Linked DNA regions of Anolis sagrei. Each later gene encodes a partner of the first gene's protein in a complex. Links are inferred from orthologs where the notes say so. Each region holds a gene or a part of one and is shown on either strand. Other genes may lie near its edges.

What was found. Proteins that work in one complex are often made in the same cells at the same time.
Region 2: PA2G4 (region 1) and SRSF1 share a complex: the UniProt entries of both Homo sapiens proteins name them as parts of the ribonucleoprotein complex. The link is inferred for Anolis sagrei from reciprocal best matches to the Homo sapiens genes PA2G4 and SRSF1.

What each region holds. Positions count from the first base shown.
Region 1 is NC_090022.1:146,812,543-146,819,539, reverse strand, and holds the start of PA2G4 (proliferation-associated protein 2G4), read right to left. Parts: upstream 3,031-6,997; 5' UTR 2,831-3,030; coding exon 2,743-2,830; intron 1-2,742. UniProt on the Homo sapiens protein: May play a role in a ERBB3-regulated signal transduction pathway. Seems be involved in growth regulation. Acts a corepressor of the androgen receptor (AR) and is regulated by the ERBB3 ligand neuregulin-1/heregulin (HRG).
Region 2 is NC_090031.1:19,485,786-19,492,740, forward strand, and holds the start of SRSF1 (serine/arginine-rich splicing factor 1), read left to right. Parts: upstream 1-3,863; 5' UTR 3,864-4,363; coding exon 4,364-4,557; intron 4,558-6,955. UniProt on the Homo sapiens protein: Plays a role in preventing exon skipping, ensuring the accuracy of splicing and regulating alternative splicing.

The sequences.
Region 1 (6,997 bases):
ACTCAGCCTTGAATGAGAGCACTGGCCTGGTAGCCATAAGATATCAAGAAGGGCACACTCGTGTGTCTAGAATTTCATATAAGCAAGCAACAAAAGGACTCTAGGAAGAAACCCATCATAGAAATTCAGACCTTGGTCTCTCCTCACCCAGCAAGATCTTTTTATTTTGCAGGCTAGTAACCTCTATTCCTTACTTCAGAGTCTGCTCTAGTTGTAACCCCATTATTAGGTTTTTAATTATTCCTACAACAAAGCTAAAACAAAGACTAAATACTCTAAAGACACCAGAACATGTCTGATCTTGGAAGTTAAGCAGGGTCAGCCCTATGTGGTACTTGGATGGGAGATCACCAAGGAATTAACAGGCGCTGTAGACTATATTTCAGATTAAAGAACTGGGGGAAAAAACAATCTCTGAATTGGTTTTGCTTAAAACCTTATGAAATTCATGAGGTTGCCAGAAATCAACAGACAACATGAAGGCCCATGCACACACACATGGTGCTTCTTCTGAGAATAAAAACATCCTTCTTCTCCTACTGTTTAGTTTCTGTGAAGTATAAGGAAAATGAAATACTGCCTGACAATTCTGATTCATCTAATTGAGATGTTTCCTTCATCATACAAACATATCCTCTCTGAAACTTCACCAAGCTTGAGAATTTTCTCTTAAAGTTTTAAAACTCAACCAGAAAAAAATGTGAATGTAGAGGTTTAAGTTACTCAAACTAAATTCTAAGCATAAGGTTGAGAGCATTGAGCTCTCTCATTTATGAAGCTACACAAGGCAGCACCGTGTAATATATATATTTATTTATTTATTTAATTGATATCCTGCTTTCTGCTTTTAGACAGAACTCAAAGCACCTCTCGCCCCCACTCAATCTATCAGCAGGACTCCATGGGGTTAGCCTATTTTTAAACAGTATTCTTAAAGGAGAGCTACTAGTCATAATCCTTGATAGAACAAAATTAAGTGGGTGGTGGGAGAGAAGAGAGCAAAAGTATAAATCACCATTTTAAAACTAAGCCCAGCAGGGGAAGGTATGCAATCACCCAATCCGGGCGCACGTGTTTACCACCCATTGAGAGTGCTTTGGCCTACAAGTGAACTGCAAGCAAACGCTCTCTCTATATTTATCACATAGTGAGTGAGCAAAGTCCTGGATGAGCTACAAGAGAGGGATTCCCTTGCTCTAGCTCCCTGTATGCCTGATCATCAACTTCCTAGATTACAATAGGGATTTTTTTTTAAAAAAGGAGGTGATCTGATCCCAAGCAGAAGTTCTTCTTTCAACAAAAGGAGCCACCTGGGAGGGAGCCAGGACTCCTAGTGAAAGGAGAGAGCACCAGCCAGCTCCACATGGCAAGGGCCAGACCATGTGCGCCTGGAGGGAGCTCACTCAACTAGCTTCTCCCCAAAAGCAACCCCCCTTCTCTCCTTTAAAGAAAGGGAAGCGGAAGAGGAGACTGGGGCCCCCTTCCACACAACCCAGAATATGAAGGCAGAAAATCCCACAATATCTGCTTTGAACTGGGTTATCTGAATCCACACTGCCATATATTCAAGTTTAAAGCAGATAAGGTGGGATTTTATTCAGCTGTGTGGAAGGGGCCTGGGAATCCACCCCCAGCACACCCAAATGGCTGGTAATATACTGCTAATAAAGTCAAGAGTACTAGCATGCCTTTCTGGAAAGACAGAGTGAATCTATTCTACACACTGTAGAACTAAGGCAATTCGACAGGACTCTCCCTACTATGGAATCACGGGAGTTGTAGTTTTACAAGGTTTTGAAGCTTTCTTTTCCAAAAACTGCTGGTGCCTCAACAAAACTACAACTCCCGCCACCCCATAATAAGGAGCCATGGCAGTTAAAAGTGGGGCGGTCAAAGGGCAATACTTCTACAGTATGGAGGCATGCTCTCTCTCTCTTCCACACACAGAGCTCTTATGAAAACTACAACTCTCAGGATTCCATAGAGTTCAGCCAGGGAGGGTCAAACTGTATTATTTCGCCCACGTGGGGACACACTCCCCATACACCAGAGGTTCTCAACCTGTGGGTCCCCAGATGTTTTGGCCTTCAACTCTCAGCAAACATCTGGTAAACTGGCTGGGATTTCTGGGAGTTGTAAGCTAAAACACTTGAAGACCCATAGGTTGAGAACCACTGGTTTAGGACACAAAGGCCTTATCAAAACTACAACTCCCAGGATTCCGTGGCAGGTAAAAAGTGAGGCCAACTGAAGTTATTCGACAGTCTGGAGGCGCCCCCTCTACACATACACACAAAGACCTTGTGGAACTACAACTCCCAGGATTCCACAGGAGTCAAAGTGGGCTTCTTCTTCAGTGTAGCAAGGAGAGGGTTGAACACGTGAAGAGCGCGCCATGTGCGGCCGAGTCGTCCAACCCTTCCTCCTTCCTTCCTTCTTTCTCTCTTCTCCAAGGACAACTGGGCTTTCGAGGAAGGACCCATCGAGGATTATGGTGTGAGGGGGCTTAAAACACACGCAGACAGTGTATCTGTATCTCATTCTTCCTGGAGTTGAAAGGAGCCCAACTTGGCGGGTCGTGGGCCGCCTCGGGTTCCTCTTGGAGGGAGGGAGAGAGAGACTGTTTCCCCGCCTTGCCGCCATTCCCTTCGCCCTCCTCCCCCTCCCCCTCCTCGGCCAAACTCCCAGGATCCCAGAGCCTCGGGCCCAGGCCGCGCCCCCCACCGGCAGGCAGGCACTCACGGTTGGCGATCTCTCCCCCCATCTTGTACTTGTTCACCACCACGTCTTCCGCGATCGTCAGCTCGGACGTCTCCTCCTCGCCCGACATGGTCGGACCCTCAGCCGCCTCTCTCTCTCCCTCCTCTGCCTGCCTGCTCGGAGGGAGTCCACCTCACCGCCGCCGCCGCCTCTGCCTCTGTTTCGTCTCCTCCTCACGGCGCGCGCGACAACCAGACAGGCGGCCAGCCAGCGCGCGGGCTTTGCGCGCGGCACGCTGGGAAGCCAGCCCGCCGCCTTCAGCTCACAAGGGACTACAGGTCCCGTCAGGGGCCGCGGCAGCGCAAAGGGTGCCGGGAAGAGAAAAAGAACCCACAACCCTTACAATGCCACGAAAGGGAAGCGCCTCCTGTCAAGCCCCGTGCCTGCCACCTAAAGGCTTCTGGTGGAACTGCAGGCAGAGTTACTTGGCTTTGAGGGCCCTTCTTCCATACTCAATACTAATCCATACTAATCAAGGTGAAAGAAGAAAGCGAAAAAGCTGGCTTGCAGTTAAACATCAAAAAACCAAGATTGTGGCAACAAGAATGATTGACAACTGGGAAATAGAGGGAGAAAACATGGAGGCCGTGGCGGACTTTGTATTTCTAGGTGCAAAGATTACAGCCAACGCAGACTGCAGCCAGGAAATCAGGAGACGCTTCTTGGGAGGAGAGCAATGTCCAATCTTGTTTAAATAGTGAAGAGTAGAGACATCACACTGGCAATGAAGATCCACATAGTCAAAGCAGCGGTGTTCCCCATAGTAACCTACGGATGTGAGTTGTTGTTCATTCGTTCAGTCGTTTCCGACTCTTCGTGACCTCATGGACCAGCCCACGCCAGAGCTCCCTGTCGGCCGTTACCACCCCCAGCTCCCTCAAGGTCAGTCCAGTCACTTCAAGGATGCCATCCATCCATCTTGCCCTTGGTCGGCCCCTCTTCCTTTTGCCTTCCACTTTCCCCAGCATAATTGTCTTCTCTAGGCTTTCCTGTCTCCTCATGATGTGGCCAAAGTACTTCAACTTTGTCTCTAGTATCTTTCCCTCCAGTGAGCAGTCAGGCTTTATTTCCTGGAGGATGGACTGGTTGGATCTTCTCGCAGTCCAAGGCACTCTCAGCACTTTCCTCCAACACCACAGCTCAAAAGCATCGATCTTCCTTCGCTCAGGCTTCCCTAAGGTCCAGCTCTCACATCCATAGGTGACTACAGGGAATACCATGGCTTTGACTAGGCGGATCTTTGTTGCCAGTCTGATGTCTCTACTCTTCACTATTTTATCGAGATTGGACATTGCTCTCCTCCCAAGAAGTAAGCGTCTTCTGATTTCCTGGCCACAGTCTGCATCTGCAGTAATCTTTGCACCTAGAAATACAAAGTCTGTCACGGCCTCCACGGTTTCTCCCTCTATTTTCCAGTTGTCAATCATTCTTGCTGCCATAATCTTGGTTTTTTTGATGTTTAGCTGCAACCCGGCTTTTGCGCTTTCTTCTTTCACGGATGTGAGAGCTGGACCTTACTTCTTTCTTTCTTTATTTGGTTTACTTTTACCCTGCCCTTCTCACCCCGAAGGGGACTCAGGGCGGCTTACACATCCAAGGCACAATTCGATGCCCGTAACATACCACAGCAATAAAACAAATAACACAATTTAACAATCGACAACAATACATTACATCTATACCCGTTAAAACCAATAAAACCCTTGGGGAAGGCTGAGCAAAGGAAGATAGATGCTTTTGAACTGTAGTGTTGGAGGAAAGTGCTGAGAGTGCCTTGGACTGCGAGAAGATCCAACCAGTCCATACTTCAGGAAATAAAGCCTGACTGCTCATTGGAGGGAAGGATAGTAGAGGCCAAGATGACGTACTTTGGCCACATCATGAGGAGACAGCAAAGCTTAGAGAAGACAATTATGCTGAGGAAAATGGAAGGAAAAAGGAAGAGGGGCCAAACAAGAGCAAGATGGATGGATGGTATCCTTTAAGTGACTGGATTGACCTTGAAGGAGCTGGGGGTGGTGACGGCTGATAGGGAGCTCTGGCGTGGACTGGTCCATGAGGTCACGAAGAGTCGGAAACGACTGAACGAATGAACAACAACAACTTCCATACTGCATAGGTTGTGGGACTCAACTCATAGTTAAAGCAATGTTATTCCCCGTGGTGGTGGTGGTATGGGCATACCAAATCCCCTTGCCTCTCTCCTGAGGAATCTGTATAAGGACCACGTAGCAACAGTCAGAACTGTAACGCCCTTCGGGGTGAGAAGGGTGGCATATAAATGTCGTCTATATAAATAAAAATGTAATGTTGGTTTGTAGGGTTAACAGAACTCAAAAACCACTGGATGAATTGACACCAAATTTGGACCCAAGACACCTAACAACCCAATCTATGTCCTTCACTCAAAAAAATTGATTTTGTCATTTGGGAGTTGTAGTTGCTGGGATTTATAGTTCACCTACAATCAAAGAGCATTCTGAACTCAACCAATGATGGAATTGAATCAAATAATAATAAACTGTACAGTGCAAGGTATACTCAAAAGAGCAGAACCTCAAAGACGCAGCATAATAATAATAATTATTATTAAGCTGTGCCTTTAAGGCTCTTCTCTTTTGAGTACACCTTGCGCTGTAGAGTTCATGGAGTTTGACTGTCAGGCTCAATGCTGTGGAATCCTGGGAGTTGTCCTTTTACAGAGCCTTTGTGTGTGTCGGCAAGAGAGAGTGCATCTATATTGTTGAATTAATGCAGTTTGATACCACTTCCATGGCCGTGGCTCAATTCACTTTTTTTAATCATGTCAGAAGCGACTTGTGGCTCAATGCAGTGGATTCCTGGGAGTTGTAATTTGGTGAGGGACCAGCACTCTGGGGCAGAGATTATTAAAGTTCCTGTAAAACTACAACTCCCACAATTCCATCTCTTTTAATACATCTACACTGTAAAAGTAAGGCACTGTGACCCAACATGAACTGCTATGAGTCAGTGCTAACCATAGATGTTGTTGTTTGATAATGCACCAGAGAAGGCTGAAGAGCTTGTGAAACTATAACTCCCATGATTCCATATAATCAAGCCATTGCAGTTAAAGACTTGTCAAACTATTAATTCTACAGTGTGGATGCAGCATTGAGACTATGGTCCCTTCTACACTGCCATATAAAATCTGCTTTGCACTGGATTATATGGCAGTGTAGACGCAGATAATCCAAAACAGATAATGTGGATTATCTGCTTTGATAATGGCTGTGTAGAAGGTGCCTAAATTCATTCTGATCTGATTTTTTCCCCAACAGACCAGTTTGCTGGAAGTTAATGATGGATTCATGGAGTAGGTTCACACAGGAACTGGCACTGCAGGTTGATCCAGAATAGTGGCTTCATAGCCACGAATGCAAATGCTGACGAAAGATTGTGGCTTGAAATAGTGTGAAAGATCCACCTGCCTCCCACACTGTTTATCTGCCTATAGTGTGTATCTACAGTAGAATTCATGCACTTTGCCACCAGTTTAACTACCATGGCTCGATGCTATGGGATTGTAGGAGTTGTATCAGTCTTTGACAGGGAAGGCTAAAGACCTTGTAAAAGTCACTCAAGGCCAAGTATGATTGTCTTCTAAAGGTAGAGTCTTGGCTGTGGGTCTGTAAGTGACTGTGGAGACCTATCCTGAATCTACATGGTCTTTTCCAATGAGAACATCGATTTCTAGATGGAAGAAAAGTCCCAACAAGGGCTTGTTTGATGTATCTGTCTTTCAGCAGGCTTCTCCCTTTCTCCCTCTATTTGTGCCTCTTCAAAATCCACAGCACTGTTGGTAACAGCTGACCTCCTCTTACAGTGCTTAAGGGTCAGGGCTTCCCAATTTTCAGAGATTTGCAGGATTTTTCGAAGGCAACACTGATGGAATCTTTCTAGAAGTCGAGTGACATTTGTCACTCCATGTCTCGCAGACACACAATAGAGTTGGAAGGACAATAGCTTTATAAACATGCATCTTGGTATCCCTACTAATGCCCTGATCTTTAAACATTATCTGCTTAATTTGAATAAAATGCTGCACTCACAGAGCTCAGACGGTGTTGTATTTCGGCATCAATGACTGCTTTTGTGGAGAGGTGGCTGCAAATGGAAGCCGAAATTGTCATTTTTTAAAGCTTTACACCATTAATCTTTATTGCTGGCATTGCAGAAGGATTGGTTGGTGCCTGCAAAGAGAGCACTTTGGTTT
Region 2 (6,955 bases), on another chromosome or scaffold:
GTTAAAGTTTGTATGCGGCGGAAGTGTGGCGGTGCGACAGGGTATGTGCCAGCGTTCTGATTGGCTGCCACTGTGGTGCTATTTGCATATGGTTTTTTGATTGGCCAGATTCAAGAGGAGCCCCTGGTGGAGAAAAGGGTTCATGACAGAAACGGAGACATGAGAGAAGGAAATTTGCATATTGTCTCTGATTGGCCAGCCTCAATTCCAAGATTCCGAGATGACAAAGAGAGGAAAGGAAAAGGCCAGGGGCTGGGTCAGAAAATTACCAATACAGACCAAACTTGGCACACAAAGCCCCCATGACCCACTCTACATCCTACTGCAGTTTGGAGGAGGATGAACCATGGATGATGGGACTTGCAGTACCATCACTCACATTCTGAGACCGCTGTTAACCTCATCCAATGACTGATCAGGACCAAACTTGGCACATAGACCTCTCATGACCCATTTTACGTCCTGGTGTGGTTTGGCCGGGGATAGACCATGGATTATTGGACTTGCAGTACCTTTGCTCAATTTTTGAGACCACTGCAACCCTCATCCAATTACCGATAAAGACCAGACTTGGCACACTGAGTCTCCATGATGCACTCTACGTCCTGGTGCAGTTTGGAGAAGAATGCACCATGGATGATGGGACTTGCAATACCTGCACTCCCTTCCTAAGACCATTACAACTGCCTACAATGATGGATCGGGACCACAATTCACACAGAGAGCCCGCATGACCCACTCTACATCCTGGTGTGGTTTGGAAGAATTTGGCAATGGATGATGGGACTTGCAGTCACTTCACTCACTTTCTGAGACCACTGAGACCCTCGCCAATGGCTGATCAAGACCAAACTTGGCACACAGAGTCCCCATGACCCACTCTACATACTGGTGCACTTTTGAGGAGGACAGACCATGGATGATGATGGGATTTCAAGTACCTCCACTCCCCAAGACTGCTGCAAAACTCATCTAATGACCAATCAAGACCAAACTTAGCACACAGAGCCCCCATGACCCACTCTACATCCTGCTGCAGTTTGAAGGAGGATGGTTTTTGGATGATGGGACTTGCAGTACCTTCACTCACTTACTGAAACCACAGCCACCCTCATCCAATGACTGATCAAGATCAAACTTGGCACACAGAGTCCCCATGACCCACTCTACATCCTGGTGCACTTTCGAGGACAGACCATGGATGATGGGACTTCAATTACCTCCACTCCCTTCCCAAGACTGCTGCAACCGTCATCTAATGTCTGATCAAGACCGAACTTGGCACACAGAGCTGCCATGACCCACTCCACTGTTTGGAGGAGGATGGACGATGGATGATGGGACTTCCAGTACCTTCACTCACTTCCTGAAACCACAGCAACACTTATCCAAATACCAAGAAAGAACTTGGCAAACTTTGGCCAACTGAACATTCTGATGAGGTTTGGGGGAGAACAGACTTTGGAGGAGGATGTGACTTGCAGTACCTAAACTCATTAACCATTTCTTAAGATTGGCTCTGCATCTCGTGGTGCCAGAGCGCAGTCTGTTCAGCGCCTTCCAAGTCGCCCAGTCTTCTGTGTGCCCAGGGGGGAGTCTCTCACCTGGTATCCCCCACAGAATGAGGTGCTGGGTTTGAGCCTGCCACTTTTGAACTCTTGCTTGCTGAGGTGTACCAGCGAGTATCTCTGTAGATCTAAGAAAACTATTTTTTGATTTGAGTCGTTGACGTGCTGGCTGATACCCAAACAAGGGATGAGCTGGAGATGTCTCTGCCTTGGTCCTTTCACAATCCAATGATTGATCAAGAACAAAACTTGGCACACAGAGCCCCCACGACCCACTCTCCATTCTGGTGCAATTTGGAGGAGGATGGACCACAGATGATGGGATTCGCAGTACCTTCACTAACTTCCTAAGATCACTGCGAGCCATATAAATAACTGATAAAGACCAACCTTGAGACACAATTCCTTTCTCAAATAACACCAAGCTAGTTTTTAATAAATCCGTGTTGACTATTAGCAATGACTGCATTTGTTTCTAAGTGTTTGCAGACCTATTCCTTAACATTTTTTTCCAGAATCTTGCCTGGTATCGACGTGATCTTCCTTTTCCCTCCTTCTTCCCTTTCTGTTTTCCCCTTTCCTCCATCCCCAAAGGGATCCAGGCAAAGAACGCCTTTGGGGGAAAAGAGAATAGAAAGCGGTGCAGTTTTCGGCCATGGCCACACGATGGCAGCAAAGGGCCGTGGCGGGTGAATGAAGAGGGGGCTGCACTTCCCGATGTGTCCACTGGGCGGCCAAGGCAAAGGGATCACCCTGGAGCCCCAAAGGAAACCCAGAGGCGCTCGCTCACAGGCCTGTAGCGAGGGGGGGGGGGGGGGTTGGGGGTTCAACCCCCCCCTGAAATGTTTCAGATTTTTTTTAAAAAAACCTGGTTTACTCATGAATTTTAACTGGTTAACCAAATCCCCCTGCTAAGTCTATGAGATGCAAAAAATTCAGAGTCCCTCCAGAACTGCAAGCACTATCTCAGGTAAATATTGACAATTTATTCACACTGTCATTACTTGCAGCAATAGCCGATGTAGCGAAGCATCCAAGTTGGGGGGGGGGGAGGTTGTTGAATGCTCTCATTAAGGAGGCCAGACTTGGTGGAGGTGGTTGACAGGGGCGGAGCTGCAGGCTATGGAAGACTGCTCTGCCCCCTGCTGTGCTCTTTGCGGGGATTGTGGCGCAGCTGGCTGAGTGTCAGCTGCATTAAGATCACTCTGACCAAAAGGTCATGAGTTCGAAGCCAGCCCGGGTTGGAGTGGGTTTCCAACCAATTGTGTGTAGCCTGTTGTCGACCTTTGCAACCCGAAAGACAGTTGCATCTGTCAAGTAGGAAAATTAGGTACCACCTTAAAGTGTGGGGAGGCTAAATAAAGAAGACTCTGGCAAAGCATTCCAGCGGGGAAGATAAAGGTAAAGGTAGTCCCCTGACATTAAGCCCAGTCATGTCTGACTCTGGAGTGTGGTGCTCATCTCCATTTCTAAGCCGAAGAGCCAGCGTTGTCCGTAGACACTCCAAGGTCATGTGGCCAGCATGACCGCCGTTACCTTCCCGCCGGAGCGGTACCTATTGATCTACTCACATTTCCATGTTTTCGAACTGCTAGGTTGGCAGAAGCTAGGGCTGACAGCGGAAGCTCACGCCGCTCCCCGGAATTGAACCTGCGACCTTTCGATCAACAAGCTCAGCAGCTCAGTGCTTTAACCGACTGAGCCACCGGGGGCTCCTCCAGCGGGGAAGTGTGCGGGGAATGTGGAAGTGCTTCCTCAGCGTCGCAGATGGACGATGAAAGCGACATCTCCCCTGGCGGCCAGAAAAAGTTAAATAGCCTCTGTGTATGTCTGTATATGTTTGTATGTCAAAATTGACATTGAATGTTTGCCATATATGTGTACACTGTAATCCGCCCTGAGTCCCCTGCGGGGTGAGAAAGGCGGAATATAAAAGCTGTAAATGAATAAATAACATAAATAGAAGGCAGGTTTCAACCCCTCCCCCCCCCCCCCAAATTTCAACCCCTCCCGAAAAATTTTTCTGGCTACGGCCCTGCTCGCTCGTCTTTCTCTTTTTAAACTACATTTAAATCTCCTTGTCTGCTCTCTCTTTCAAAAAATACGGGGCCATGTTTGAATTTTCCTTTCAGGGAGTCTCTCTGGTAGGATTTTTCCGTCAGGCACCACAATAGCCGACTAAGCGTGCTTCGCTGTGCATTGTGGGCCTCGTGCTTGGCTTTGGCGCGAAGGCGCTCTGGCGCGCGTTGCATGGTGGGAAGGCGGCGCTTCTCCCCTTGAGCCGGATCTTCTTCCAAGCCGAACAAGGGGGAAAATAGAGGAGAATCGCTGCGCGCGTCTTTCCTAGGCCTCGGCCTCGAGTGGCGAGTAATCGAAAGGGGAGCGTAAGGAAAACGTTTGCAAGCGGAGGGACTTCTTTTTTCTCTTGCGCATGCGCAATTGGAAAGGCGGAGGCATCTGAGGAGAAAGCGTGAGAGAGTGACGTCACGGCGCGCGCGCGCGAGACTGAGAGGATCCTTGCGCGAGGCAGGTAGAGCCGCCATTTTGTGTCGCTCTGAGGGAAGGCGCGTCCGAGGCGGATCCCTCCCAGTCGACTGGGCCCGGCGCCTGCCTGCATCCCTCCTTCGCTTTCTCAGGCCCCGTTCTTGCTTCCCCTCTCTCCCTCTTTCTTTCCTTTCTTTCTTTCCCTCGCTCGCTCCCTCCCTTCCTCTCCCCGCTGCGGGGCCCTTCTCGCCGGCCTTCCCTTTCTCCACGAGCCTCGGCCCCCGCCAACCGCAGCCATTGCCGACCTCGCCATGTCAGGCGGCGGCGTGATCCGCGGCCCGGCCGGGAACAACGACTGCCGCATCTACGTGGGCAACCTGCCGCCGGACATCCGCACCAAGGACATCGAGGACGTCTTCTACAAGTACGGCGCCATCCGGGACATCGACCTCAAGAACCGCCGCGGGGGGCCGCCCTTCGCCTTCGTCGAGTTCGAGGACCCCAGGTGAGGAGCCCCCGCCCCCCCCCCCATTATGTCAAGTCTGGACTGCACAATTCAACCCCTACCAACAGATGGCCACCCAACTTCAGAATCAGAGTTGGAAGAGGCCCTCAAAGGCCATCCTGCCCAGCCCTTCATGGCAAAGGATAGTATAATTCAAGCCCTATCAGCAGATGGCTGTCCATTCTTCGATTCAGAGACTCCCACAGTGGAAAGGGGCCCCCAAAGGCCATCCAGTCCAGCCCTTTATGTCAAGGGACAGTGCAATCCAAGTCCTGCCAACAGAGGGATATCCAGCCTCTAGCTAGATCATATACTCCTAGAGCTGGAAGGGACCCTCAAAGGCCATCCTGCCCAGCCCTTCATGGCAAAGGATAGTATAATTCAAGCCCTATCAACAGATGGCTGTCCATTCTTCGATTCAGAGACTCCCACAGTTGAAAGGGGTCCCCAAAGACTATCCAGTCCAGCCCTTATGTCAAGGGACAGTGCAATCCAAGTCCTGCCAACAGAAGGACATTCAGCCTCTAGCTCAGTGGTTCTTGTCATGCGTTAGCATGAATCATAGAATCAAAGAGTTGGAAGAGACCTCATGGGCCATCCAGTCCAACCCCATTCTGCCAACCCCACTCTGCCAAGAAGCAGGAATATTGCATTCAAAGCACCCCTGGCAGATGCCCACCAGCCTCTGTTTTAAAGCCTCCAAAGAAGGAGCCTCCACAACACCAGGGCAGAGAGTTCCACTGCTGAACAGCTCTCACAGTCAGGAAGTTCTTCCTCGTGTTCAGGCGGAATCTCCTTTATTGTACATTGTATTGTTTGAAGCCATTGCTCCATTGCAGCCTAGTCTCCAGGACATCAGAAAACAAGCTCCCTCCCTCCTCTCTGTGACTTCCTCTCACGCATTTATACATGGCTATCATGTCTCCTCTCAGCCTTCTCTTCTTCAGGCTAAACATGCCCAGCTCTTTAAGCCGCTCCTCATAGGGTTTGTTCTCCTGAGTAGCATGCAGACTGACTCTAGCCCAGTTAACTGTGTGTGTGATGAAATTACTCATAAAAGAAAAACACACGAGACTTCGGCTTAAAGTAGAAAAGAAAAATATTGTAGTATTGGCAGCATACAAAAACAAAATAGCAGGATTACTGTTTCCACAAAAGTAACATGAAACAATATCTTCTGAGAGATATCATTACTCAGCTGAGATAAACAGGAATCCTTGTCCTCTTCTCATGGCTGTGTCTTCGCAGGACATCTGCAGCATAGTCCCCGGCTTACACAAAGCAGAACGGCACAGAGGCATAGATGCACAATAGCATAAACGCACAATGGCAAAGAACTAAACACACAGTAGCTATCTTTATACACATGAAAATAACACTCAATTAACTCTTCAATTAACTGAAACAGCTGTAGCACAAACAGCCTTGAACCTTACAGCAACTTAAAGTTATAGCACAAACAACACTGATCCTTACAACAACTTAGATAAAGTACGTTGCAATCTCTTAGTAGCAACAGTTCTCAACCTGGGGGTCAGGACCCCTGGAGGGGTCACAAGGGAGTGTCAGAGGGGTCACGAAGATCACCGGAAAACACAGTATTTTCTGTTGGTCATGGGGGTTTATGTGGGAAGTTTGGCCCAATTCTGTCGTTGGTGGGGTTCAGAATGCTCTTTGATTGTAGGTGAACTACAAATCCCAGCAACTACAACTCCCAAAATGTCAAGGACTATTTTCCCCAAACTCCACCAGTGTTCACATTTGGGCATATGGAGTATTCGTGCCAAGTTTGGTCCAGATCCATCATTGTTTGAGTGCACAGTGCTTTCTAAATGAAGGTGAACTACAACTCCAAAACTCAAAGTCAATGCCCACCAAACCCTTCCAGTATTTTCTGTTGCCCATGGGAGTTCTGTGTGCCAAGTGTGGTTCAATTCCATCATTGGTAGAGTTCAGAATACTCTTTGATTCCAGGTGAACTACAAATCCCAGCAACTACAACTCCCAAATGAGAGAATCAAGTCACCCCTCCCCCAACTCGTATTCAAATTTGGGCGTATTGGGTATTTGTGCCAAATTTGGTCCAGTGAATGAAAAACACATCCTGCATATCAGATATATACATTACGATTGATAACAGTAGCAAAATGACAGTTATGAAGTAGGAAGGAAAATAATTTTACGGTTGGAGGTCACCACAACATGCAGAATTGTATTAAGGGGTCACAGCATGAGAAAGGTCGAGAAGCTAGATCATATACTCCTAGGGTTGGAAGGGACCCTCAAATGCCATTTGGTCCAGCCCTTTATGTCAAGGTCTCCCATGACCTTCTGGCAAACAAACTAGTCCAATGTGGGCTTGGCAAAACTACGGTGAGGTGGATCTGTAATTGGTTAA